Linked DNA regions of Lytechinus pictus. The main gene of each other region encodes a partner of the protein of the gene in region 2 in a complex. Links are inferred from orthologs where the notes say so. Each region holds a gene or a part of one and is shown on either strand. Other genes may lie near its edges.

Region 1 (8,610 bases), on a different chromosome or scaffold from region 2:
AGAAGTATTACACATTAAAATGTGTTTTCAATGTGCCTTCATCCATACCAGCCAATAGCTGCATCTGCAAAAAAAGTGCCAAGACAAAGTTGTAAACAACACGTCTTTCAGGGGCTCAAATACTTTTCATGGCTGCAGTTTCAGAAGCAAATTTTAATCTTTCTTGAAAAATTACAGTAGAGGCTACATGTATGTCTAATTCATATTTTGAGGTTTCAAGATCCAACAGATACAAGACCCACTTCATTCTAACACCAGCCACAACACCATACTTGAAATGAGGCTGGTGTTGGGAGTGACCTCGGAAAATATGACAAATTCCCGGCAGTTTGTGTTTAGCGCTGGTGTTGAATGTCGCCTGCTGAATAATAAGAGGCATTACAGCTGGTGTTGACTATCTTAATTTCATGTTTGGTGTTGGTATTCGTGATTTGAAGCTCGCGAACGATGAAACATCCCAGTAATTTTTATGAACAATAATAATTTGTCTTTCAGATATTTGAAGTTATGTTGGCCTTACTTTGCATTCTGTATGAGATTTTTATAACGCGATCGATATATCGTTCTTCTGAATCCAGCTCGGTTCAGCATTCTTTTCATGCCCTCATCAGTCTAAACATCAACACCAGCTGACGAATGCCAAAAAAAAAAATGGCTTCAACTCAAGTCAACCCTGATGTCAACAGCAGATAGAAAACTTTGCACATCCAAGGCAATTTAAAATTGCCTGGCCACCGGCACCGGGCACAGGCACAGTATTAAAACAAAAAAGTTCCCTATAAAGGCTATAGATACTATAATTTATAAATACATACATGATCGCTCACAAACACAATCACTCACAAAATAAAAATGATCGGCCTTATCCTGAAATAAGTCACCTCTCTTCTCCTGTGTGCGCTTGTTGTCATGGTTGTGTACAAAGTCAATGGGAGAGGAAAGAAGTCACCTCCACTGACGAAATGAACCAGGGTGACCAGACATACCGTATTTTGCTTCTTTGTCCCGGCGTCCCGACAAACCCTTCCCGGGACGCCTATTTGTCCCGTATGTCAGAATATTGAACAAAATGTAATTAATACATAGAAAAGTGAAGAATTTTCATAAAAATAACCTGGGAAAATAACCAACAGATGACAAAGGAGAGACAACAATAAAATTACTGTAAACTTTTGCAAGTTCTGCGGCTTGCAATGGCTTCCTGTCTGTGTGTGTGGCAGGCTACTAGGATCGGAGCAGATTCTCAATGGTGCAAACAATCTCACATGATCAACAGTTTTTCCACCAAAATAATCACAAAATGGGCGGGCAATTTTAATTTTTATATTATGGATTCTCAGATTACTGATTTGGTGATGTAATCGGTGGAGCAAGATATTGAGTTTTCATAACTAGATCTAGTTGTTTCAGGTTTCGTTTTAAGTCTTGTTGTGATCAGTGCTAACTTGTCATGGGATGAGAGATGTGTGATGCTGCGATGTTTCATCTAATTTTTAAGTTTGACAATGTTTCACTTTGAAATTTTATTCATTTCTAAAACATTTTAGTGTTCTAACAATTTTTAAAATAGATTTTTAAAAACCCAAATATCATGAAGATGATTGGATATTTTTGCTTGCTTGAAGTTTGAACTTTTTTCCTTTGTTTCATTTTTATTTTTTATCCTTCTTTCTTCATCCTTCTATCCTTCCTGCTTGCCTTTTTTTGTTCCATCTATCTTTATTTCCAATCTTTCCTCGCTTTCTTTTCTGATCCTTTCTCTCTCTCTCTGTTCATTTTTCTTTCTTTCTCTTACTTTCCTTCTTTTAAATACCTTTTTTTATTTCCTTCATTCTTTAATTCTTTCCTTGAACTTTTCTTTGCTTCCTTCTCCCTTCCTCTCCTTTTCATTTTCGTTCTTTCTCTCCTTCCATTAGTTTTCTTTTTTTTCATACTCTCCTCTCTCCCTTTCATCGGCTTTCTTTCATTCTTTATTTTCTCTTTTCCCCTTATTCATTCTTTCCTTTCCTGTTTTTTCCATCTTTCTTTCTTTCAAAGAATGAAGGAAACCTTTTTCTTTCTTCTTTTTTTTTCTTACTTTCTTTTTTTTTCCTTTCTCTCATTTATTTATTATATCACACATGCATTCATTCATCTTCCCTTCCTTTCTTTATTCATTTCAAAGAATGGCAGAAAGTAAACCTTTTTTTCTTTTATTCATCCGACCTTTCATTCTAATTTTAAAAAAAAAATTTCCTTCATTTTCATTTCCCCCTTCATTTTGTATTTCTTTCCTCTATTCCATCTCTTTTCTTTCCTATTTTCTTTCTCTCCTTCATTCTTTCGTTCACCCTCCCTTTCCTTTTCTTATCAAACATTGTGTTTGTTGATTTTTTTTTATCAGTTGCTCCGATCGTGCATCGTGCTTTTTGTCCCATATTTCATTTTCTGGTCACCCTGAAATGAACGGCAGTGAATTAAATCAAGAAAATGCCAAATGATCCCTCCGCCGGACCCCTTCGAGTCTGAGGGGAAATATTCCGACCCCCCCCCCCCCCCCCTTTCCGAGCAATAACAATAGTACATTGTCCCACATGTGCTTATCTGTGTTGGTGATCAGTCATCAGTGCAGAGCAGCGTGATCTTTTCAGCTAGTCTTCCTTAGATTTCAGCCTTTCATGTATTAACAAAGTTCAGTTAATGTACCTGTACCAGATCTAGATCCACCTACGATTATAAAGTAACAATTAACCTTGGTTTTACAGACTTTCTCATAGAGTGTTTCTGAACTTACCACTTACCCAGGTCGGACGTCGGCCGGCCGCTCGGAGAGCATCTTTGCCTTTGGTACACGTACCGGTATACATCACGTACGTACATCACGTGCATTATATATATGGGAACCCATTATATTAGTATGTGAGTATATGCCATAGAATACATCTCTATGGTATATGCATGCACCGCGACATTTCGGCCAAGCTGAGTACGGCCACAGGCAAGGTTCGAGACCAAAAGTTTTAGGGGAGCTTAGCGGTGCAACAGCCGGGGTTGGGGCAGGAGTGGCAGTCTGCCCACCCTGGCGGAGCTCACCAGGAAAAAAAACCGGGGAAAGCTAAGACAGAATTAAAGAAAATGAAAAGGAAGAAAAAGAGGAAAGAGGGGGGGGGGGGGGAGAAAGGGGAAAGAATTGAGGGGAAAAAGAAAGCCGATAAATTAAGAGAAGAAAGGTAAAACGGAAGGAAAAGGAAAAAAACACGAATAGGGGGCCTACGCGTATAGATCTAGGTATAAGAAAAAATAATCCCGAAATACTAATAAATAGGAGAGAAAGGAGAACCAAGAGATGGCCACGTGGAACGGGAATTTATGGCGGGAAAACTGAGGAGTGAGAAAAGTGACGGAAAATGAAATAGAACAATGAGGTAAGTATAGACCCCGGTACGTGGTATAGGTCTTAATATGCTCAAGCTGAATTTTTAAAAATGAAGAAAAAAATGAAGACACAGTCTGGGCTACCAAAGATTAATAATAAATTAAAGCATGAGATGGCTTATTAATGTATGATAACTTGCTAAATGGCAATAACGATCGCAATCAGGACAATATTACAGAAGATTATTAGAGAGGTTCCATGCAGAGGTACCGTCCAAGCATTGCCTTATAAATTATGTCAATTTAATGAGGCCTACATAATTTCATTTTCATAGGGCAAAAACTCGCTCTTGATGTTATAGAAAATTTGTTTCGTAAAACCTCCGTAAAACCTGTATACCCGCGTGATTTGATTGAAAATAGCGGCCATCAAGGTAAATGACTGAATCTATATGGAGAGGAAGGGAGTCCCAAAAATTTCTACGACCAAGAACAAACAAGCAAAAAAAGAAAAGGAGAAAAGAAAGAAAAGCACTTAAAGGACAAGTCCACCCCACAAAAAATTTGTTTGAATAAAAAGAGAAAAATCCAACAAGCATAACACCGAAAATTTCATCAAAATCGGATATAAAATAAGAAAGTTATGACTTTTAAAAATTTTGCTTAATTTCACAAAACAGTTATAATAATATGCACGTCCTGAAAAATCCTGTTCACATTATGACCGGGATATTTTTGGCTCTTGCCCCTCCCCGGCAACCGACCCCTGTTACGCCCCGAGCTTAACTGTGCATGCCTATGAGACTTCTGCAGGGAGCTTGAGAATTTTTGACGTTGTTCATTTCAGTACATGGAAAATAGTCTATCGTAAGCAGCATGCATGGGTGAAACAGCTAAGGGTCGATCGGCGGCCGGCCGGGCCGCGGGCCGGCCGGCGCGGGGGGGGGGGGGGAGAGCCAAAAATTTCCTCCCGGTCATATCATGATGTGAACAGGATTTTTCATGATTACACGCGAGCACTATGGTGCGAGGCTCTATGTGAGAGTAGCGTTATGAGTAAAAAGATAAAATAAGTAAAAAAATCGCAAAATCAAGCTCGAAGCACAAGCTAAATTTTTTTGGTCCCACTCACTTAAAAAAAGGACCTATCCCTGTTTGCGTGACACTTTGTGATATTTTCACCAAATAAAATATGCGAGATGAAAAATGTTAATATCCTGATATGATAAGTGGACGTTAGCATTTCTTATGAACAGGATGGGTATCCATATATCTAAACAAAAATGCATGCGAGCGCGTTTTAATACTTTTTTGCAATTATGAAATTTATTATGCAAGATGTGTATCTCGCTAAAACAAATAATGAAAACTCGAATCATGAAAAAAAAAATTATTGTGCATATTGACTCGAACACTGGATTTTTAAGCCCCATGTTATCTTATTAAACAGATCATTTATTTATCTAAATCAAAAGTCACTGCGAGCGCGAACAAAATTTTGAATGTTATAAAATGACCTCAATTAAAGTTTTATTTCATATTGCAGGGAACTATACCATGACTATATGAGGAAATTTTACAAAATTTGAAGGGTGAATAGTGCTAGCTGTTGTGGATCACTTTACAGCTTAAGTGAGATGCTCATGACAGCATTTACATTATTTCTTCAGTTTCGGAATATTCGGGGGGCCGGGCGCGGGAGCAAGTAGGGCAACGATCCTGACCCCCCCCCCTTGGTACCACCACTTACAGCATGGTGCATGTGGCAAAAGTTTCTGAATAAAAGTCCCGGGAGAGCGAAGCGAGCGAGGTTTTCTTCTACTTTTTCATTACAAGTGATAGATTTTGACATGATCTTATTCCTCTTTCCTGTCCATTTCTTTAATTTCTCCTTTTGTTCTTGGTCGTAGAACTTTTTGGGGCCAGTCCCCAGCAACGCCTTCCATTTTTATGCCAGTGCTGCTGGGGTCCGAGCGGAACCAGAACCTCTCGAGATTTCATTACATGAAACCTTACTTTTCAATCTGATCATATATGTTTTACAAAACGCATCACTTCAATACAGTGGAGTAATAAACCAAACATTTGAGGGGCACAACATGTGAAATGTGGGGATATTTCTAAAACGTCACGAACGAGTTCATTACACTACCTCATTTCCCGTTTCTGTTTGTCCCTTTTCTTTCCTCTTGAGTCCTGTCATACTCGTTCCCGTTCCATTTTGCCACCTTTCTATATATTTCCCCTTTCTCATTCATTAGTAAGTTCTTTCTCATAATCTTGTCTCTGTTTTCCTCTTTCCGCTGAAAACCTTTCCTCTCTTTATAGACTCTTTTCCCTTTCCGTTTCTTTTTCCCCTCCCTTTCCCCTTTTCCTCCATTTCCTTTCTTTCTTTCGTTTCTTTCAAAGTTTTCCCATTCTCCCCGGTTTTTTTCCCGGAGCCATGCAGGGCTGAGGGGGGCAGATCGAGGCCGCCCCCGTGCCCCTCGCCGCCTGTTACCACTAAAGAAGACAAGGAATAATATGCCTTGTTAGTTGCTATTATGTCAAAACACTTGTTCTCAAAAGATGTATAGCTAGGCCTACATGCATTACCTCCATGAGTATATAGGGGAAGGCGGGGTAAGTTGAGCATAAATTATAGGGGCAAGTTGAACCACTACCCCCAGGCCAATAATGAATGAGTCAGACACTGTGGTGTTGTCATTGTATTGATGACCCATTGCATAACCCCTAACCCCACCACAAGTTGTTTTCAACTTTGAAACAAAAAGTACTTTTTTTGAGGGAAAAATACAAATTTCAGCCAAAAAAGTAAAAAAGGGTGCGAAATAGATAAGTGCTTTTTACACACATGCACACACGTCTTTAAATAAAATAAAGACCAAAGACTATAAAGAACAACATTGTTAGCCCAGGTATGGAGCTTCATTCTTGTCATAGTCTTTTATAATTATGATGGATGCATAAGAAATGTGTGGAAGCGAAATTATCGCATCATGTTCGGACTGGGGTAAGTTGTGCCAGCCGACATGGGGCAAGTTGAGACATGGTAATTCTTATAATGTAGGCCTATATAAAAAACAAAAAAACCTTAAAAAGCCTTCGATATGCAGACAGAAAGGAGCAAATTTACATGACTGTTCTATTCCTTTTAGGATGTTGTTATTTATAGAGAATTAGCAAGTGAAAAGACTTTGAATAAAAAAATTAGACATGCTGGTTCTTCCCCCACACATATAGTGTTTGTGGCTCAACTTACCCCACAGATGGGGCAAGTTGAGCCATCACATCAGACAATGACTTTCAGTGTGGGGATAGAAAGTTATATATAGGTGAAAGATATTTCAGAAGAATTGAATTTTAAGGCAAGGTACTTATTTCTACAAGATTATAAATAGTATCAATTCCAACATGCAAAAAGCAAAAGGTGGCTTACCCATAGAGAGTATACATCTCTATGGGCTTACCCCGCCATCCCCTATATACGGATCTTGTTCATAAAAGAAAGGATCGCGTTGCCCCGCGTTGACAATGCAAGCTTTTACCGTGTCGCAAAAGGTGGGACGAATGCCTGATACGATATTTCTGATGGACGACGAGTTACACTCATTGTAGAAATGGAAATGGCAGGAGCAAAGTCAAATCGTCGTACTCTCTCCAAAGTCTCAACTTATTTTTCATATTTTCTTTGTCAGTTTTCTTAATATTGGCATACTGACGCGATCATGGCGGCTTAAAGAATCACAGTCGGCGGAAAGTCCTTCGAGAGGATTGTTTATTCCAACTCTAAATAGAATTCGCCGAACTGTTTAATAAATAAGCCTAGGCTTCACGTCTTACGACATCACTCGCAAGTCGCAGTCGATCGGAGTGTGCAATAGCCAATAAACTGGGAGGAGCTGCCTATCCGTCCGTCCAGCCAGGTTGTGTGCATTGAAGTTTGAACTCAGCCACATCTTTTTGGGGTGCTAATTCGCTTTGCTGTCCTTGGCCCTTGGCTGTGTAGTGTAGACCCTTCAGAAAAGACGCAGGATCTAATTGGGTGTACCATACAGTACAGGCTTAAAATCTACTCCATCAAGGATCAAGGCACTAGGCCTAGTCAGCAATAATAATTTGTCATTGAGTCATTTGTAAATTAAAACAATCCCAGATCACATCCACACAATGTCAAAAGCTACCAAACGCAAACATGTAACAAGAGAGGTTCTGGAAGATTATATTTTGCCAGAGGAAAATCAACAAATTTTGAAGGTTAGTAGTAAAAGTAGAGTCTTAAACTTTCACTTGGCCTAGACTTGGTCATGTTGGTCTTGGAAGTTTCGCTTGGCCATGAAACTTTTAATGAAATGGCTCAGTCAGTGAGCACATCTCATGCTTGAGTAAACACCAAACTTCAAAGTCAAACCTTGTTTTCTCCTTATTCTTTGGAGCACTCAGTGTTACATTCAATCAAATATTTATTTTGGTTATTGATCAATTTTCATCTTAGTTAAAAGTTAAAGGTAAAAGACAGTAGGGCCTACCAATTGGCAATAGTTGCAGCAAACAATTATTTCATGAGAAAGTCTTTTAATCAAGGTTAATTGTCAAGATATTATCAATTAAATCTAGATCTGGGATCTGTTTCATAAAACTTGTTACAATAACAAATTTACAAGAACAGTTAAAAGCTACTGAAATCCTTTAATCTGATTGGCTGATGGTAAATTTGTTATAGAAACTCTGCATTTGTTGCAACAAATCGTAATGAAACAGGACCCAGGTAGATCTACTTTATGTAAACTTATCTTTGTAAAAATCATGAAATCAATGGCTCAAAATCGATAATTCTGATGATTACTAACACAGAAAAGCTATGTGGGAGAGTGTATTAATATTGCTTCGAAAAATACCCAGCATTTGATGGAATTCCATGCTTATTTTGCTCATTTCTCAGCAATTAACACATTATCTTCCAGAGGCACATATTTTTTTATTTATACATATACAAACACTTGGGTGGTAATTTCTATTGATTTTGTTCGAACTTGTTTTGAAAAAGCTACCACAACTGGTATTTATCTTTAAAGCTTAGAATGTGCTTTTTCAAGCTCAATAATAATCTAAAAATTCATCAGGGGTGATTTTTTGTTGGTGTTGGGGTGGCAGGCAGGTCACAGTTGATCTCAAGTTGGAAAAAGTGATGCATTTTGGAAGTGGTTGAATTTCTAAAACGTGACCAATAAATAGATGCTGTATTCAACTTTTAAA
Region 2 (8,018 bases):
ATAATTAGGCAATATTTCAGACAAATATTTGATTTTTTTTCATTAAAAAATTCTCTGAACCATCAAACCACTTTAAAATGCTAACCATCCCCATAAAAAAATGGTACCTTCATATATGATTTTTTCCCTGATTTTAATAAACCTTGTTGGACTTTCTGCAGGTATACTGGAACAGAATTTGCAAAAGAATTTTGTCTCATTACCAACCTTGAAGCCTATGGATTGATGTGCGGCTAACGTGACAGCTATGGACCCATCTTGGGCAGTTATTTCAGCTAAACGAGCAAACTCTGTGTTTGATAAACCAAGTCCACCTGTGCAAGTAATAATACAAATCAAATGAAAAAAAAATTACCCCCCGTACTGTTTATTCATTTCTTACATATAGTTTAAACAGGGTAGCCCCAATCAGAAGTGATATACTGTTTTACTTGAGGCCCTGTACAACATAAAAACATAACAAAATGCATGGATATAAAAAAAGGGAACAAAAAAAAATATCACAAAGAAAATGGAATTTTCAGATATAACTTACTCAGGAAAATTATGATAACAAAAGCAATGTGAATTTGAAAATAATAATTATTAACCACAGAAATATGTATATAAGATAGAAAGAAAGATATCAAACATTGAAGAATAGGCAGAGAAAGAAGAGGGGAAGTAGGGAGGAATATCATATTATTTTTTTAATACAACCTACTCACAAACACACATAATTCTTCACCTTTGTAGAATATATGTAGCCTACATACAATATTTATTTTGCCAACTACCAGAATAGAACTTTGATATATTACAGGTAACATGCAAAAATAGCAATAATTCCTCAAGTACAACTCTTTGAATATTACACAATTCATTAAAAAAAAAGAGCTTCAATTTATTCAAGCAACAAAGTGATCTCTGAAATACTTATCCTATGCATATACAAAGTAAAAAAAAATACACACACAAAATTCTTATTACCATAATCTTCAGGAACCTGTTGACCAAAGAGACCAAGATCTTTTAAACCTTGCAATGTTTTCTCATCGATTTTGGCATTTACATCAATTGTTTTGGAGTCCACTGTAGAAGGTAAAAAAAAGAAAATTCAGACTCTCTAACTGGGTTCAGCATAAAAGATAGGCCTAAGAGTTATTTTCAATATGAGCTTTGAAAATTATTTAAGACTGAAATTTGTACTAGCTGTATCAGACTTTCCAATATTCTTTGTGAATGTGTGCATCAAGGTCTTCATTCTTGTATTACTTATATAGTCAGGTGACCTTCACAGCCCTAAATAATACATGTGGCTGGAAGCATGCTTGAGGTAGCAACATGAACAAATTATATCAAAACATTAAAATCTCTTTAAATAAGGACATATTTCCATTATATTTTATTTTTTCTTGTATCCCCTCAATCAAGAAATGTAAGCGAGCTTTCAAATCTGACAGTGGACAATGTTGCTATTTCTTTTAAATGACAGGATACAAATGTGATTTCCCTATGATTTTTGTCTTCACTGCTATCCTTGGTATCTCAAAGAATAGCAACCACCTTGCTTATTTTGACAAATAAAAGAAATGTGGCAAAGATGAATGTATGAAATAATTCTATACTTCTTTATACTGATTCAAAAAAGGAAATCTTCATCTGGTTTTACTTTCTAACATTTTTAAGTAAGAAAATGATATTAAAACATTTTCAGTAACCTTGAATTTACACTGGTTGACTAGATTATGGTCCCTAGACACCTCATTATTATAGTGAAGTAAATGAACAGAACAAAGTATGGTGTGACAGGGTTAAGGTCCCATAGGACCAGTTAAAAACCCATTAACATATACATATGATACATATCATTATAAGCATTTTATTCAAAATATTAAACTACATGTAAGCTCTCTATACAAAAGATAGAACATATACATGGGTATGAAACATTTTAAAATAACTATCCTACCTTCTTCATTGAAATATTTCTCAATAGGATCACACATTTGGTTGAGATGTTCAAACTGCTCCACTGTGATTTCAGGGAAAGGGAATGCATCATCCTAAAAGTAATATGTAATGAAACGCAAAGTTAATCATACGACAGGATAATTTAATAATAATGTAAAATGATAATAATGTGAATTATAAAGTGCCAACTCCACTCTGTAGAGTGCTCAAGGCGCATAAAGAGCTAAGAGTTAAATAAAAAAGTTTTTAGATTTTTGAAAGTTTCGACAGAGGTACATTTTTTAATGTCTTCAGGAAGGCTGTTCCACAAAGGGGGCATGCAAAAGCAAATGATCTTTCCCCCCAGGTTTTTGAAACTTTTGGAATAACAAGGAAGCCAGAAGTGGATGAACGCAAAGACCTGCTTGGTTTGTAGTAATTAATAAAGTGCATCCCACAAAAAAGGAAACCAGGATTCCCATGTCTTTATTCTTCAAAGGCAAAAGAATTATGATATTTCACTTTATACAGGATCATATAATTAAATATTCCTGTTTATTTTGATACCTAATACGAGACAAACACTTCACGCATTAATGAGCAAGATGAGTTTGAAATTTTAATGTAAAAATCAGGTTGCGCAGAAAAATTGGACAAGATTGGTTCGTGATATGTCTGCTACCTCGGCTACATTTGCTTGACGGCGAGTCAAAAATAGCCGTTTTATCCGTCTTTATTCATATGTAGCTGTTACAAAATGTTAAAACGGCTGTTTTCAACTCGCCGTACGGCCGCCAGGCATAGAGCAAATGTGACCGAGATATAACTTAGTCTTAGTCTTGGGTATAGATTTTTATTCTAAATCAAAAACGCTAAACAAATGACCACTGCACTGGACTACGTCTTGTTCCACTGGAGGAGAAATTTAAAAAAGTTTTAGAAAATTCAAAAAATAAAAACTCCTCCAGTAAAAAGGTTGATTTTAGCTGTTGCTAAACATAGTCGTAGAGTAAATTTTGCTGGTTTAACATGTTTATAGCTACAGTCACAGTCTAAATTAGATCTAGATTATATGTTTAAAACTAAAAATTAAAATAGGACTCCGGGAGTACGGTCATGACGGTACATATTTTGGGGGTAAACATATGATACGGTACCTTGTTAAATTTGCCAAGACAAAGATTTTTGGCGAATCCGACTGGAGAAGCTGTGACTCGAGAGACGCTTGACGCCGCTGCAGAGCTCGGACTCACAGAATCTTGGAAGCGGGAGGCCGATGTGGCAACCCCCCGTGCTGCCGGGGAAGAGTTTTGATGTGAAGTGCCGGCAGTGTGTCTTCCAATGTGAATTGTTCCTGTGGCAGGATCTGTCCATTTATGAAAGCAATTCACAGATCTGTTTGGTATGAGTTCGGTCCCATTAACAGACCTTGATATTAAGTGAGAATGAATATTTTGAACATTGCGAAAATTGCGGCAAAACATGACTGCATTCAATAATTCTCCACAAGTTTTAAGATTTTTACTTGGGGACTTTCCCTGAAATATGCCAGCAAAGAACGTATTATGTAAGTGGGAGATTAGACTTATGGTAAGGGGCGGTCTTAATTGATGGGAATATCTTTGTGGTTGCTGATGGAGATATTTAGCATTTTGACTCATTATGGATGAAAAAAGAATGATTGAATAATATAATAAATTAATATTGTCTCGATATTGAATGCAATTTATATTGATACATTCTATAAGTTTATCACACTTTTAACGATGTGAACTTTTCAATGGAGCCTCGGCCTCCAAAATAGTGGTATCGTCCTAAGCTGGAAAAAATGGCCGAGTACAAGGGAGCAGCCAGCGAGGCTGGAAGAGTTCGTCAACTTTTGATGAAACGGGAGAAACAGAGAGAAGAGCTAGAACGTTTAAAACAACGCATAGAGCAGGTAAGATCTGAAAAATATTTTTTTCGGTAATATTGGTGAATTAACTGACATTATTCGGGGAGTAGACGACTGCCAATCAATGGTGCAGTGCACCGAGAACTTTGTGAGTCAGCCGTTTGCTGCTGAGAGGCGCGGGGAGTCTCGGCGTGTGCTAAGCTGAGTTACCGCTAGACCAAAAGCTTCGGTCTCTGTTATGTTGGTTGTTCAGCTGAACTCCGTTGGCTTCACTCACCAAATACAGAGACCGAAGTTCTAGCGCGATCTGTACAGGGGACTCAATGGCCATATGTTTATGTACTTAAGATCGGATAAAACGGGGAAGTGAATTTGCGCGACAGCCGAGGTAAGTCACTGTTTTTGTTCCTTTTAACTTGATTTTTCTCGGTTTTTTGGCAATTGATGCCAAGACTCAAGAGGGAATATTAATTTGCATTTTGGTCGCGTGAATTTTCAAAATTTTTACTCATTAAAGACAAAAATTGAAGAGCCCCGACGGGGGGATTTTGCATTGCAAGTCCCCTAATGGTGGCTGCACGCTAGCGAGCCGTCTGTGTATGAGGAGAAATTAAAAAAAAAAAAATGTTAAAAAACTCCTCGAAACAGACGGCTGCCAGCTGTCTAAGTTACCGCTAGCTGCTTACTTAGTGCTGCCTGAGGCTGAGCTGCGCCTGCTACAGTGCTAGCTGCTGGAGTGCTGCTTTTGTGGATCCATGCTCTCATAAACATAATCGATTATGACATTGGATTGTAAAGTATACTCTGTGGAGGTGCGGATGGATGGCGTTATCAACTTGGAGAATATTTGCTAGCTTACGAGAGATAACTGTCCAAGACGCGTCTCATTTGTTTGTACATATGTAATCAAATTGATAATTTGTATTGTATTTTTCTTATTAATTTTCTCTGCGTTTGAGTGGAAAGCCAGCATGAAAATGAGAATAAGCAAACACAGTGGAAATAAGCCTCATCATAGTACAGGAAAAATAAACAGTTGCTGTGAGTGTGAAGATGGTGGATGGAGCCTTGGAGGGGTAGAGAAAAAATAGGCCATGTGTCATGAGGTCGCCGACCAAAAATGGGTGGTGTTACATATTTTGGTTAATTTGTGTTGAGTTATTCCTAAGTATTTTCAAAATCAAAGAAGCTATGCCAACAAGTTTGGTATCATTTTCAAGCTGAATTCATTGGCTAATGATTTAGAAAGTTTCATTGCTCTAGGATAAGTAGAACACATCTTTAAAGACGGAGCACCGGGGATGGTGCGGGCAGCGATGCCACCTGTAGGAAGTCAATGGGGATTGATTCTCAATACTTTGTGCTATTTTGGGTAGAACGTTAATATTTTTGTGAAAACTTGACTTCCAACTAAAAATTTGGTATCATATTGAAACTACAACAATCTTCTTTACTGTTAATTGATTGAAAAATAGTTTTGGCAATGTCATTATCATTCAAATACCAAAAAACATTGAAAAAGAAATAGAAAATTGTTGAAATTCTTCAAGTTTCACAACAATCCTTCCATATTGAAACATTTTCTTCATTTATTAGTTATTCTTAGTTATATTAAGTAATTCTTAATTTCAATGTACCTTTTGTAAGATACAGAAAACAAGTGACTATTCTGTAGGATGAAAGTAATAAGTGAATACTTGGCTTTGTTCAGACTTACAATATGTGAAGAATCTTAGGAGTATTATTTGGTCTAATGATATCATTATCAGAATTTCTTTTAAATTGTTTTATACCTTTAATAAATCAGATGAACAAGTAGATTTAACCACAATGTAATTGCAATGCAGGCAGAAATAGCATGCACAATATACATTTATTATTTTTAGGGAAAAAGATTGCATAAGTTCTCGTTGATTTTGAAGTAATTTCATAACCATAAACCCAATAAAATTACACATTGTTAAAAAGGTCTGTACTGTACAGAAATGTCATTATTTTGGTCATCGGGGGACCATGTATTTTATTATAATCACAAATATGAGATTGAAAAATATTAAAAATTTTCCATTCAACATAATATAACACTAATGCCTTACACATATTGCTGTTTCTGAGTGAATATTTGGGTTCATTGAGCGATTTCCTTTCAGAAAATATATAGTTTTACTATCATAGGGTGTATACTTAGTGAAAATCACCATGTAACACGAAAGTAGGCGACCTCATGAGACACATGGCCAATAATATCCTATAATTCATAACTTTTATCTAATGATGGTCCATGACATAATGATACTGTTTGCTCTTGAAAAAAAGCATTCCTGAAAGTTTGTTTTTTCTATGATTTTGTTTCCTTTTGTTATCAGGACAGTGTCAGTCGAGTGTCTACCATCAGCGCAAAATTTTCGGCTCATTATGATGCAGTGGAACAGCAACTCAAGAGCAGCACCATTGGTACAGTATTTCATCATCTGCATTATTGAATCAAAGAGGGGGGGGGTACATGGGGCTTTGTGTGGTATCCATTTTGAAATGCTCCAAAGAGCCCACAAATTTTTTTTTTTTTTTTAAGCCCTAAAAATCCCCATTGACTGCAATGTCAAAGCTTTTCCAATGGTGCAGATTGTTTCTTTGAATTGTGAATTTAACATTGAGAAAGGACTTCATCGACTCACAATAGATCACAACAATGGCGACCTAACATTTTAGGGAAGTATCAAACTTTTTTTCACATTATAATAAACCAAAAAAATGAAGATATTTCACGTATCATATAATGAAATACACAAGTAAAGTGGGGTGATGTCTTCAGCTTCCTCAATTGCATTCTCACCAGGATGTGTATATAAATGTTTTGTGAATTCAAACAAAAGTAAAATGTCAAACTTTCCTATTGAACATTGAATATTTGAAGACATTTTCAGGTTCATGCTTGGTTGATTTTTCTCTTTTCAAGTCAGCATATTTTTGTATTTGGGCTTGGCCTTTAAATCAGTTTGTACTTTGCATTTAGAGATTTGTTTGTTTGTCACAACTCCTCTTTTTCTTTCTTTCTTTTTAGGTCTGGTCACCTTCGATCAGATGAGAGCAAAGAGAGAGGACTTGGTGAAGGAGAGAGAAAAGGAACTTGCACAATCATCTAAAGCTCTGTAAGTCAATTCATACACTCCAATCTCCACCGTAATCTATTTGGTGAAACGTTGGCATAACCGTGTGAGATCCAAATTGTACAGTTTTATTTTCTTAAACTTTGTGTGCCCTATATCGTCATTAAAAAAATGTAAACTTCTTCCTTTTTCCATTGCTTCACATCACAGAAATAACTCATAGAATGCGTTTAATAAGTAAAAAGTTGTTAAAACAAAAACGTATGGCAAAATTAAGGGAGTGTTTCATGGAGCATCTTGTTAGTGATTTTCACCAACTTATTTGTTCCGAGCCAATCAGATGCAAGGATTTCAGAAGCTTATAACAGTTGCCAGTGAAAATCACTATTTATTTAATGAAATACCCCCCAGGGCTGAGACAAAACCGAAAAATGATACTTGAAAAAATTTGACATTTCCTTTACCAAGAAATCATCCTAAAGTGCACAGAGTCAAAATGTAGAGTAATTTTTTAATTCAAGTACATTTTGCAATACAAATCAGTCTACTACATTGACTAGTATCATGCATGCAACATCTCTTTCACTTGAATAGCTGATTCATTGATCCCCCTCCCCCCTTCCAACCCATCCCTTATTACTGACCATTCAATAGAATTGAATTGAAAGACAGGGATGTTTTAAATGAGATTGCTTCAAATATTTCTATATACACTGAGAATAACTGAAATATAGACTGTCTCATTTGACCCTCGATAATGTTCTCGGAGAATTTCCAGGAAGAGGAAATTGTATTTCTAGAATGAATACCAATAAGCCGAACATTAATGACAGGCATGTTCTGTATCCATTGTTTCATGTGTTTGTACAGAGCAAAGGAACGAAAGAGGAAGAAGAAACTGAAGAATGCTGGAACGCTGTCATTCAATATGGATGAAGATGATGAAGAAGGAGAAGATGGAGTTTGTGATGATAAAGAGGAGGAAGAAGAAGATAAAGCAGATGATGAGTTAGGTGAGATTTTCATCATGTGTGTGTGTGTGTGTGAATATTGTGGGTTAAACTTCATAGAACATTTTAACCCAA

Evidence for each region.
Region 1: complex I assembly factor ACAD9, mitochondrial-like (region 2) and complex I intermediate-associated protein 30, mitochondrial-like share a complex: the UniProt entries of both Homo sapiens proteins name them as parts of the mitochondrial complex. The link is inferred for Lytechinus pictus from reciprocal best matches to the Homo sapiens genes ACAD9 and NDUFAF1.

Annotation. Positions count from the first base shown.
Region 1 is NC_087251.1:31,762,294-31,770,903, forward strand, and holds the start of complex I intermediate-associated protein 30, mitochondrial-like, read right to left. Parts: upstream 3,096-8,610; 5' UTR 2,774-3,095; intron 1-2,773. Other genes in the region: probable RNA-binding protein EIF1AD, read left to right, coding at 7,525-7,611. UniProt on the Homo sapiens protein: As part of the MCIA complex, involved in the assembly of the mitochondrial complex I.
Region 2 is NC_087247.1:7,771,994-7,780,011, forward strand, and holds the start of complex I assembly factor ACAD9, mitochondrial-like, read right to left. Parts: upstream 3,505-8,018; 5' UTR 3,417-3,504; coding exon 3,090-3,416; intron 2,046-3,089; coding exon 1,952-2,045; intron 1,072-1,951; coding exon 970-1,071; intron 315-969; coding exon 208-314; intron 1-207. Other genes in the region: protein FAM50A-like, read left to right, coding at 3,761-3,871, 6,193-6,280, 6,888-6,975, 7,804-7,946. UniProt on the Homo sapiens protein: As part of the MCIA complex, primarily participates in the assembly of the mitochondrial complex I and therefore plays a role in oxidative phosphorylation.